Linked DNA regions of Oryctolagus cuniculus. The protein of the gene in region 2 purifies or fractionates together with the protein of the main gene of each other region. This does not show direct contact. Links are inferred from orthologs where the notes say so. Each region holds a gene or a part of one and is shown on either strand. Other genes may lie near its edges. The genes, in order: KIF5C, KLC1 and KIF5A.

Region 1 (4,268 bases), on a different chromosome or scaffold from region 2:
TTTCAAATCATGGGATACGGCACAATGGGGCTGGATTTGACAAGCATCATGTGCATCACAAGAAACACACCATACTGTATGTGAGAGACCATACTGCATAGTTTTACACGTAGAAAGTAAAACAAAGAAAAATGAGCCAAGTCAAAACAATGGCTACCCTTGGTTGGGGGGGAGGAGATAGTTAGGGACCAGAAGGAGTACTATGGGGACTTCTGAAGTTTCTTAGTCTGTGAGGTAGTTATAGGGAGCATCTACGTTGTGAACGCCTAAAACCAGACACTTATGATATAATGCTCTTCCATAGGAATATTTTATTTCAATAAAAATTTACCTTAACAATGAAAACTGCCTGTTATATTCAAAGATTACAGTAGGATGAGAAAGACCACTTTACAGCTGAAGAGTATTGCATATATTCACATTCTTATTTTATACGGTGGCTTAGTTTTAATTTTCTTAGTCAACAATATATATACTTAGATGGGGATTACATCTTATAGTATTATAATACTCAAGAAAGTTACTTGGAAATTAGGATCTCTGCTTTGCACACATATAAAAGAAGATGATTTATTAACCCGCTCCATTGGTCCTGGTGATGGGGGCGGAGGTTAAAGGGGGAAGTGAGAGAAGAGAAAGATGGGAAGAAGAAAGGGGGTTCAGAGAGGAAGTGGCAAAAGAACTTCTTCAAGTTCTTCTTTGAAACCTCTGGGAAAAAAACAGGGTCACCAGAACATGTCCTAATTCTGCAGTTACTTGTTTTAAAAAATTGTTACAAGCCAAGGGGCAGGGACTCGATGTCCCCAGGAACTCCCATAGCCTGGCTCAAGAAATCCCAGATAAGGCTGCAGGAAGAGCCTGGCAGAGAGCTGTAACCCAAACAAGCCACATGGGCACTAGTAAGTAGCACACAGAAATGTCACTAGCCCACAGCTGCCATTTACTGTAGAATTTCCCTTCCCATCAATAATTGTACCATACATCTCCCCTGCAAGTTAACACCAAGCAGAGAGAAAACACTCTTTCCTCCCTCATAGGTCAGCAGTCAGAATGAACGCCTATCCACACAGCATTTGGAGGTCATGGTTTCCTGACTGTGAAAATGGGGAGAAGAGAAGGCGTCGTCAAGGGAGCTGCCTTGGCAAAGGAGGTACAGGATGAAGCCCCGAGGCCAGAGCTTCACCTCTGTTCCTCTGGCTTGCACAGCAGCTTCCTACCCCTTGCACCTGCTGTCCCCCGGGCCCTTCACAGGGACTGCGGCAGACACCCTCGGCATAGATGCTGGTGTGTCGGCTTCTGTAGCTGGATGCAGGCCGGGAGGACTCCGGAGATACCCTCGGAAAACTGTCACCTGTCAATCACTTGACCTAAATACACCAGCCACTGGGAGAATGGGAGGGGGGGAAGGGGGCTGGTTGGAGCATGCTCAGTGATCGGGATGACATCACTTAATCAATGCTGAGGACGGGAAGGCTGCATGAGCAGCCTGGAGCGGGCTGCCAAGAACGTGTCAGCGGGGACCGGGAGGCTCCCATTAACGGGTCCCTCCCCACGCGGTTTGCATACAAAGGGCACCGTCAGCCACACACGCTAGGGACAGCGGACTGGAGGCAGGGCTGGCGGACTTCATCGGACATAGCCCTTTAAGAACTGAAACCCACTGGTGCTCCCTCCCCCACCGGCAGCCCAGGCTGCGGAGAGGGAGCTGAGTCGGGGAGGGGGAGGGGGGAAAGTGGGGACTGGAGACCCAGAGGGAGGGGGCCCTAGCCACACAAAGTAACTTCTGCTCTTGGCACAGAGGGGCTGCAGGGCTGCGATCTGTGCCCCCTTGCCGTACAGATGCAAAAGCAGCCTCCTCTCCACGCCCCGCGAAGCATACCGCAGGGTCTGCGGACATCAGGTGGGGGGCTCGATCAAGCGGCAGAAAGCCAGCCCCGGCTCACATTCAGGGCAGCCTGGGTGACAGCAAGCAGGAGATACACAGGCCTCCTGGGGACTAGGGAGCCACCAGTGCCCTTCCCCCCGCCCCCGCCCAAGCACTCCACCGGACCAGCGCGGAGCAAGGTGAAACCCACGGCAGGGAGCCCGGGGCCTAGCCATGGATTCTTCCTAAGCCTTTTCTTCTTCCCTGTTTGCTAAGGGCGTGAGAAGAGAGGCAAAGTGCTTGATAAATCGAACTGAAGCCTGGAAGCATCCATGGAGCTCATAGCTCATGGGGGGCCAGGCACTCCTGCTAGGGGGTGACCTGAACACACTATCCACGCAGCGTGGAGAGTGTGGGGAACAATGGGCCCACCTGGGCCCCCACCTCGCGAACAATGGCGGCGCCGGGCTCTGCCTCGCCCCCTGCCCCCACCCCCGGGGCCCGCCCCGCCACCCAGGGGGTAACCACGGAGCGCGAGGTGAGGGGTCTCCGTCCTGCCCCGGGAGGGCGGCCAGCGGGGACGTCCGAAGGGGCGGCGGAACATCTCCGCCCCGTCCAGGGCGTCGGGGCGCCAGCGGCGCGAAGCAGGAGGGGCGGCCGGACGTTCGGCCACTTACCCCGATCACCACGGTCTCGTCGCCTTTGAATTTGGGGATGAATTTGTCCCCGCGGAGGATCTCCGCCTCGTTGAGGGGCCGGAACCGGCACATCACTTTGATGCTGCATTCGGCTGGATCCGCCATCGCGGCCGGCTGCAGGGAGGGGGCGCGGGGATGGTGGGGGTGGGGGGCGGCTGGGCGCTCTGAGGGACGAGGCCGCTACCGTACCGCCCGCAGCAGGGCCGCCTCCTGCAGCCTCCCGCGGCGCTTCTCAGCAGGTCATCGCGAACTCGGCCGGCCGGGCAGCTCCAGCCGCTCCGAGCCCGGGACGGTGGACAGCCCCCCGGGCTCCGGCCCCGCCGGCTGCAGACCCGCCTGACCTGGCTCTGCCCTGCCCGGCACCCCCGGCCCACCTGCCTGCGACCCCGCGGCGGGTCGCCCAGGCGATGCGCAAGGAGCGAGCCTCGCCCGGCTCAGACCTCCCGGGCTCCAGAGCGCCCAGCCATCCTGCATCAGCACCAGCGCGCTCCGCCGCTTGCCCGGCCCGCCCCTCCGCCCCGCCCTCCCGCTGCCAGCCCGGGGGCGGTGACGTCACCGCGGCGGTCCGCCCCGCCTCCGCCGGCCCGGAGCGCGGCGCATGCCGGGACACGTAGTCACTTTATTTGCAGGTGAAAGGGCCAAGATGCTAGGAATTGGCTTTGGGTAGGACATGGACAGTGCCCCGGAGTGATCTCCGACGGCCTACAAGCCTGATAGGGCTGCCCAAGCCAAAAACAGGATGGAGAGCTCATCCAATATTCTAGCTCAAAATCTCTAGAAATAACCAGGTCTGGACCATCTCTTTACATCTTTTCCTGATTCCAAAGGAGAATCACATCCTATGACACATTTGAGGGGTTTTCTCTGTGCTTAAGAGTATTGAGGAGGAGCCGGCACTGTGGCGAAGCCGGTAAAGCTGCCGCCTGCAGTGCCGGGGTCCCATATGGGCATCGGTTCTAGTCCCAGTTGCTCTACTTCTGATCCAGCTCTCTGCTATAGCCTGGGAAAGCAGTGAAAGATGGCCCAAGTTCTTGGGCCCCTGCACCCACGTGGGAGACTCAGAAGAAGCTCCTGGCTCCTGGCTTCGGATCGGTGCAGCTCTAGCGGTTTGGGCCATCTGGGGAGTGTACCAGTGGGTGGAAAACCTCTCTCTCTCTCTCTCTCTCTCCTCTGCCTCTCTGTAACTCTGCTTTCAAATAAATAAATCTCTTTTTTTTAAGTTTTGAGGAAAGTTAGGGGTGGAGTGGATAAACCTGCATGGATATTTGGAAGCCAGTTACACCTGAAAATGCCTGTACACAGGTAGCACAGTTCATGACTTGCTACCTATTTGGGGTCAGGGACTCTTTTAACATCTGATGAAAGTTGGGTACTTTGGCCATATCAATAACAAAAAACAAAACACAAATACACCAGTTCCCACCCACAGCCTTAGCGAGCTATTTCAGTAATTTCGCAGCAACTGAAGACTGCCTGTCACTCCCAGGTTTAGGACATTTCAGTTACAGCACCTTTACGTAATGCCTCTTTGGAGCACTGCAGAAGGAACAGAGCATACATTGGACCAAGTCCAAAGTTCTTTACTGGATACACCCTGGCTCTCGTGGTCAGATTTCTGCCAACTTATTTGGCCCCATCTCCTGCCCCTTCTAGTGTTGATATTTGTACCCTGACAAATACCAAGCTGCCGGGGCTTGTAGCTTCCT
Region 2 (3,641 bases):
CTCTCCAAATGGCTGCAATGACTGGAGCTGCACTGATCGGGAACCAGGAGCCTCCTCTGGGTCTCTTCTGCTGCTTTCCCAGGCCATAGCAGAGAGCCAGATGGGAAGCAGAGCAGCTGGGACTCTAACCGGTGGCGGCCAGCCAGCACTGTAGGCAGCGGCTTTACCCACTACACCACAGCGCTGGCACCAGGCTTAAGTCCTGAGAAGTGACTATTGTGTTTTGTCATTACTGAGTGTTTCCTGAAAATAGCTTGTTTAATAGGATAGAAAGCTGGGAAACAGGTGGATCAGACTCACCTGAGAGGGGTGTGTGCTAGAAAGGGCAGCCCTGCCGGCCGCGAGCAGGGGTCCTGACATCGCAGGTGTCACGGGGTCTGCTTGTCGGGAAGTTGTTCAGTTAGATGCAAATCCCCCAAGTGTGTTTATGGGGATAGAGACTGAAACCGTTATTCTCAGAACTGAAGATGAGCTAGAGTGTGGGTGAAGTCAGCATCGTGGCTATCCAGTTCTCTGCTACCTTTGGTGGTCGCCAGGAGTCAGAGCGGCGAGTGCTTGTGCCGGCAGCTCTGTGGCTGTGCGGGACGTTAGCAAAGTCGGCCGTCAGCTGCACAGCGAGTAACCACAGGCAGATTAGCTGGGCATTGTCTGCAGTTACTTATCAGTGACACTGAGAGATTGGCCACTTAGTTTTGGGCCATAATGGCAAAGAATAGGCAGAGGAAAAATGAGAAGAAGCTCATTATAAAATTGTACAGGTGATTTTCTTTTAATAATTTATTTTATTTATTTGAAAGAGTTACAGAGAGGGAGAAACAGAGAAGGAGAGAGATCTTCCATCCGCTGATTCACTCTGCAATGGCCGCAACAGCCGGGGCTGGGCCAGGCTGAAACCAGAAACCAGGAGCTCCATCCAGGTCTCCATAGCAGGAGCCCCAAGCGTTTGGACCATCTTCTGCTGCTTTCCCAGCTAGCGAAACTGGGTCAGAAGTGGAGTGGTTAGGACTCGAACCAGCATTCATGTGGGATCTGACCTCACAGGTGGTAGCCTAACCCACTGCCACAGCACAGGCCCCTGCACTGAACCTTGAACTTCTGAGTTGAAAGTGCCTCAGCAGCGTGAAGCAGTGGGTTAAAACCGCCCCCTGCAGCGCCAGCGTCCCGCATGCCGCTCCGTGTCCCGGCTGCTCCACTTCTGATCCAGCTCTCTGCCAAGGCTTGGGAAAGCAGCGGAGAATGGCCCAAGCATTTGGGCCCCTGTCACCCATGTTGGAGACCTGGGAGAAGCTCCTGGGGTGTGGTAAGGGCAGCCCGCTGCAGGGGTGAGGGGCAGGTAGGGGGCAGGAGAGGAGTTGGTGAGTGTTTATTCGGCCTTCGATACAGTGTACGCTGCAGTGAGTGGTGCTTCGGCAACAAAGAATAAGCAGGAAAGCTTGGGCAGCTGTAAAGGTGGAGAAGCGGGTGATGTGCTGGTGAGTGACTGTGGAGGCGGGGACCTCCCCTCTGAGGCGCTGAGGAGAGCCCTCAGGGTGAGCAGCTGCGCTGGGAGAGGTGTGGGCCCAGAAGCAGGGAGAGTGGTGGGTAACAGGGTCTTCATCACGTGCAGTTCCCTTGTCTGCAGAGCGCTGCGTCCTGATGGCTCAGGGCTGCCCTGGAGGACTCGAGTCAAACAGGGCAGCCGGCGAAGACGAGCACGGTGTCCCCTCCCCCCAGGGCCTGCAGTGCGGCCTAGCGGGTAAAGCTGCCGCTTACCAAGCTGGCAGCCCAGAGGAGGTAAAGCTGCCGCTTACTATGGCTGCTCCACTTCCACTCCTACTCCCTGCTCATGTGCCTAAGCAGCAGAAGATGGATCAAGTACCTGGGCCTCTGCATGTGCGTGGGAGCCCCGGATGGAGTTCCAGGGTCCTGACTTAGGCCTGCCTGGCCTCGGCTGTCGGAGCCATCTGGGGAGTGAACCAAAGGATGAAGATCTCATTCTCCATGTCTCCCTGTCTCTGTGTAACTCTGTCTTTCAAATAAGTAAATGGACTTTAAAGAATGAAAATGGGAGTTCAAAGGGCTCCGGCGCCGCTCCTCTTACTGGTGTGCCGTGGGAGCCGTTGGAGGTGTGCAGCCTGGAGGTGGCGCGCAGTCGCGTTTCCGCTTTAGAAGGAGCTGTGACAGGAGCGTGCGGAGTGGACGGCTGCAGAGACGCGAGCCTGCGTTTCTGACTGACTGTGTTCATCCCTAGGTTCTGGGCAAGGATCACCCTGATGTTGCCAAGCAGCTGAATAACTTGGCCTTGCTGTGCCAGAACCAGGGCAAGTATGAGGAAGTGGAGTATTACTACCAGAGAGCCCTGGAGATCTACCAGACAAAGCTGGGCCCCGATGACCCCAACGTGGCCAAGACGAAAAATAACCTGGTAGGTGACGGCGGGCCGTGGCGTGGCCTGGGCTGTTCTTGCAGACTCAGAGCAGCCGTAACTCTGCCTGCCCATCGGGGTGTGTGCGTTGCTGCCGTGTGAAGGACACCAAACTCTTTCTTTCACTTCAAGGCTTCCTGCTACCTGAAACAAGGGAAGTTCAAGCAAGCAGAAACACTGTATAAGGAGATCCTCACTCGGGCGCACGAGAGGGAGTTCGGATCTGTAGACGGTAAGACGCTCTCCTGACGTTCACGCTGTGACGTGGTTTGCAGCGTGCAGTTGGTGATAGTGAAGTCCTTAGGACCTTTTCCAGGGTAGAATGCGATCTGGGACCACTGTGTAGCCAAGCGCTGAGTCACCGGGTCGGGCGGCTGCGTGTCCTGTCCCACAAGGAGTCCGTGCTGCCTCTGCTCCTGCCTGCGGCTTCCTGCTCATCGGCCCCGCCAGGCAGTGGTGACGGCTCAGTGACTGAGTCCCTGCCGCCCGTGGGGAGACCTGGGCTGAGCTCTCATCCCCCTGCCCTGGCCTTGCCCTGAGTTCCAGGCCCATGGGGAGGCCACCAATGCCTGCCTCGGGCCGCACTAGTTCACCTGCCTGTGAAGCTCACAGCCGTTTTCTCAGCGCTAATGGCCACTGAAGACTTCAGATACGCCGGCGTGACCGTGCTGCACAATGACGCAGAAACAGGACGGTGGCCTGCCGTTGCCAGCCAGGCCGTGCATGCCACTGTGGAGGCACAGCAGGGGGGTTGGTTTCTTCTTTTCTTTTTAAATATAGTATTCTTTTTTTATTTTTATTTTATTTTTTTATTTGACAGGTAGAGTTATAGACAGAGAGAGACAGAGAGAAAGGTCTTCCTTTCGCTGGTTCACTCCCCAAATGGCCGCTACGGCCGGTGCACCGTGCTGATCCAAAGCCAGGAGCCAGGTGCTTCTTCCTGGTCTCCCATGCGGGTGCAGGGGCCAAGCTCTTGGGCCATCCTCCACTGCCTTCCCAGGCCACAGCAGAGAGCTGGACAGGAGAGGAGCAACTGGAACTAGAACCCAGCACCCATATGGGATGCCAGCACTGCAGGGGGAGGATTAACCAAGTGAGCCACGGCACTGGCCCCTCTTTTTTTTTTTTTTTTAAAGGCCATCATTTTATTTGCAAGAGTTACAGAGAGGTAGGGACAGAGAGAGGTCTTCCATCCGCTGGTTCACTCCCCAATTGGCTGCAGTGCCGGAGCTGTGCT
Region 3 (3,641 bases), on a different chromosome or scaffold from region 2:
TGTGTGCCAGGTGCCCAGGCGTCCCGCCTCTGTGGGCCCGCTGGGCGCGGGTGAGCATCACTCACGTCAGCTCCTGCAGCTTGGCGCTCTTCTCGTGCTCTTCGCTCTTCAGCTTCTCATAGTCGGCCTGCAGCTTCTCCAGCTCCAGCTGCAGCTTCTGATTCAGGCTGTGAGGGCCGCGGGGAGAAAAGCAGAGGTTCACGCGCAGGAAAGGGAAGAAAGCTCTTCAAGCACTCTCCTCCTTGCAGGAGGGAAGCCACTTGGAATGGATGCATCAATGCAGGCCACTGCTTCTGTGACACAGCAAACAGCCCTGAGCTCGCCAATCAGTCAGGCCTCAAGGGGAGGGAGCAGTCCATACTTCTGTATCTCCTGATACAGCTGGGCTGCAAAGCTGTGTCACGGTGGACGGAACGACACGTGGGAGTGGAAGAACCAGATCCGGAAGGGCAGCTGAGCGCGCCCCGCAGGACGGGAGGACCTGGGGGAGACTGGGGCCACCCACGGGAACCTTACTCTTTGAGTTCATCAATGGTCTTTTGCTTCTCATTGATCTCGTCCCGGAGCCGGGCCAGCTGCCGGTGATGGGCCTCCCGGTGACTCTCCATCTGCACCTCCAGAGCCTTCTGCAAATAACCCCACTCCAGGCTCAAAGCCGGACTCCCAAGGCACCCCCATGAAGTCTCTGCTCCTGCGCCACCCTCGGCCCCGGCCCCAGCCCCGGCCCCAGCCCCAGCCCCGCACTCACCTTCACTTCATCCGCATCCTGGGTGTCTGGCTCCTTGTCCTTCAGGGCCACCTCATGCACAGTTTCTATGAGAAAGACAGCTCATACCAAACCCATCTCCTCCAGATAGACCCACAGGTGGTGACCAAAGCTCAGGCTGGGCAGGGGATGGGCTGTTCTGGGCAGGCCCAGGGTTTATGGTTCGTGTGCATGGGCCACGTGCAAAGGCCTGGCTGGGCTCTTAGCAAGAGTCTGCACCCGTGGTTTCAGGCTAAGGCTCTGGGGGACTGTCAGGCTGGTGTTTTGGGGACGTCTGGGACTTTCCCTGGGGGATCTCAGATGCCAGGACAGGTGGGACGGAGTTGAGGAAGGCCTCACCCTGGGCCTGCAGCTTGGCCAGCTCGTCACTCAGGGAGTCGTAGGACTCCTCCAGGTGCCGCTTCTTCAGCTCCACACTCTGCATGTATTCTGTAAGCGAGCGGATCTTGGCCTCATGCTGGGAGGAGAGGGGTGGGAAGAGAAAGAAGATGGCTGGAGCTGGGGACACAACTCCGAGCTGGTGCATACCTGTCAACTCCCATTCTCCCCAGTCCTCCCCCACCACACGCCTTCCAGGACGCTGCAGGTCGGGCGTCATTCCTATGGGGACTCTGTTGGACCCTCTCGGATCAGAGCCTTTGTTTGGCTGAATTCTCCCCACTGGCACCCCAGCTCCTCTGTCCCTGATCTCAGCTGACCTTGACCTTCAGGAGGGCGCTGGGAGCTTTATCCACAACCGCACAATAGCCATGTTCCCCAGGGTTCTCAGCTCAGGCGCTTACCTGGGAGATGAGGAGCTGGCAGGACGACAGCTCGCGCCCAGTCACCTCCATCTTGCGATGACATTCCACCTGCAGGTTCTCCAGCTGCCGGCACCGCTTCACCACGGACTTAACCTCCGATTTGATTTTGCTGATGTAGAGCCGTGCCACCGTGAACTCCTCCTCGATGGCCCCGCTGATCTCCACTGGCTGGGGACGGGCAGAAGAGGAAGACCAGCTGCAGGGGGGTCCCAGGCATCCCTCCCGCCTTCCGCCCAGCCCCTCACACACTTGGGGACTCAGGTGGACAGGTGAACCCCCTGCAGCAGCTCTCCTGGCAATTTGCACTAAATCCCTCCACCTGCGTTGAAAGAACCAAGGGCCACACTCCCCGCTCCCATCTCATCATGTATGATGATTTTCTTTGGTAGGCGAAACAGTGTCTCACTTCCACAGCACTGTGCCCCCACTGCTAAATTCTACGTACATCTCCATTGCTTCTGCACTTGGTACCTCCGCAATGTGTCCTGTTGCCTGAGTCTGTGCAAACCTCTTGCTGTTTTCTGGGTCTAGTGTGAAGGTGTGTCCCCTGGCTCTCTGCACCCCCCTCCCCAGTATCCCCGAGGGTCTGGATTGGGCCACCCTGCACATCCCACCAGGGCCTGACCAGGACTGCTGGGTCTCCCCACTCACCAGCTTGATTTCCCCGTTGCCCACGATGACGCTGAACTCACTCAGGTCCTTCATCAGCCCATTCAGCACCTCGGCAATTCGTTTGCGCTGGTGCCCACTGACCTCCTGGAGTCGCTGCAACTCAGACTCCAGGGACAGCATCGTGGCCTGGGGAACAGCCCCTCTGGTCACTGCCACTGCCATTCCCACTCCCCTCCCTGGCCCAGGCGGAGGCCTATCACTTCGTGCGTGACCCTCAGGGCCGCCACAGAGAGGACACAGGCCCTACAGAAGGGTGTGGAATACAAGGGGCAGAAGGGCAAAGTGCAGGGGCAGGATGGGTGCCAACACCCTACTGCCCAGCCCCCCGGGGAACATGGAGGATGTCCGAGGCCAGGAGCACTCGGGCCACGAGCAGGCCACTCACCACCTTCTGAGACAGCTCGTCCACCAGCAGCTGGTTCTGCTGGCTCTTCTCCTCCACCTCCTGGGACTTCTGGTCGTAGTTCACGGCCAGCTCCTCCAGGGCCTGCAACACTTCCTTCACCTCCTCCTTGGCGGCATCGTTCTCTGACTGCAGGTGGCTCAGCTCCCGCTGCACCTTCTCGTTGTCCCCTCGAGTGGACACCAGCAGCTGCACGGGAGAGGAAGGGCGTGTGAGAGAGCACCTGCTGGCGACTGTCCCCACAGCCCCACAGGCTGGGGAAGATGAGCCCCCGACCCAAAGCGTAAGTTGGAGGGAGTGGGTTTTAGGCTCCACAGCAACAGAATGAAGAAGCACCCAGACTCCAACTCTGAGCTTTCAGAAAAGCCCCAAAGCACTTCCTAGACTTCTGTTAAGTTTTGGGGGGTGACCAGCCCCCAGGCAGAATGCCACTTCCTCCATCCGATTTTTTTTTTTTTTTTTTTTTTGACAGGCAGAGTTAGACAGTGAGAGCGAGACAGAGAGAAAGGTCTTCCTTCCGTTGGTTCACCCCCCTAAATGGCCGCTATGGCCGGCGTGCTGTGCCGATCCAAAGCCAGGAGCCAGGTGCTTCCTCCCAGTCTCTCATGTGGGTACAGGGGCCCAAGCACCCGGGTCATCCTCCACTGCCTTCCCAGGCCACAGCAGAGAGCTGGACTGGAAGAGGAGCAACCAGGACTAGAATCCGGTGCCCATATGGGATGCTGGAGCCGCAGGTGGAGGATTAACCAAGTAAGCCATGGCGCCAGCCCTCCAATTTTTTTGTTGTTGTTATTTATTTTATTTGAAAGGCAGAATTAGAGAGAGAGGGAGAGACACACAGAGAGAGAACCATCCACTGGTTCATTTCCCAAATGGCTTCATTTGGTTTCCCAGGTGGATGGCAGGGGCCCAAGCACTTGGGCCATCTTCTGCTGCTTTCCCAGACCATAGCAGGGAGCTAGACAGGAAGTAGTGCAGCCACGACTTGAAATGGCAC

Evidence for each region.
Region 1: the proteins of KLC1 (region 2) and KIF5C purify together in Homo sapiens (co-immunoprecipitation; 4 studies listed by BioGRID and IntAct, counting the BioPlex papers as one, with this or other methods). This does not show direct contact. The link is inferred for Oryctolagus cuniculus from reciprocal best matches to the Homo sapiens genes KLC1 and KIF5C.
Region 3: the proteins of KLC1 (region 2) and KIF5A purify together in Homo sapiens (co-immunoprecipitation; 7 studies listed by BioGRID and IntAct, counting the BioPlex papers as one, with this or other methods). This does not show direct contact. The link is inferred for Oryctolagus cuniculus from reciprocal best matches to the Homo sapiens genes KLC1 and KIF5A.

Annotation. Positions count from the first base shown.
Region 1 is NC_091434.1:93,393,261-93,397,528, forward strand, and holds the start of KIF5C (kinesin heavy chain), read right to left. Parts: upstream 2,882-4,268; 5' UTR 2,668-2,881; coding exon 2,542-2,667; intron 1-2,541. UniProt on the Homo sapiens protein: Microtubule-associated force-producing protein that may play a role in organelle transport. Has ATPase activity. Involved in synaptic transmission. Mediates dendritic trafficking of mRNAs.
Region 2 is NC_091451.1:46,448,450-46,452,090, forward strand, and holds part of KLC1 (kinesin light chain 1), read left to right. Parts: intron 1-2,230; coding exon 2,231-2,404; intron 2,405-2,536; coding exon 2,537-2,636; intron 2,637-3,641. UniProt on the Homo sapiens protein: Kinesin is a microtubule-associated force-producing protein that may play a role in organelle transport. The light chain may function in coupling of cargo to the heavy chain or in the modulation of its ATPase activity.
Region 3 is NC_091442.1:60,179,803-60,183,443, reverse strand, and holds part of KIF5A (kinesin heavy chain), read right to left. Parts: intron 2,834-3,641; coding exon 2,627-2,833; intron 2,368-2,626; coding exon 2,221-2,367; intron 1,738-2,220; coding exon 1,549-1,737; intron 1,224-1,548; coding exon 1,106-1,223; intron 814-1,105; coding exon 749-813; intron 627-748; coding exon 517-626; intron 168-516; coding exon 66-167; intron 1-65. UniProt on the Homo sapiens protein: Microtubule-dependent motor required for slow axonal transport of neurofilament proteins (NFH, NFM and NFL). Can induce formation of neurite-like membrane protrusions in non-neuronal cells in a ZFYVE27-dependent manner.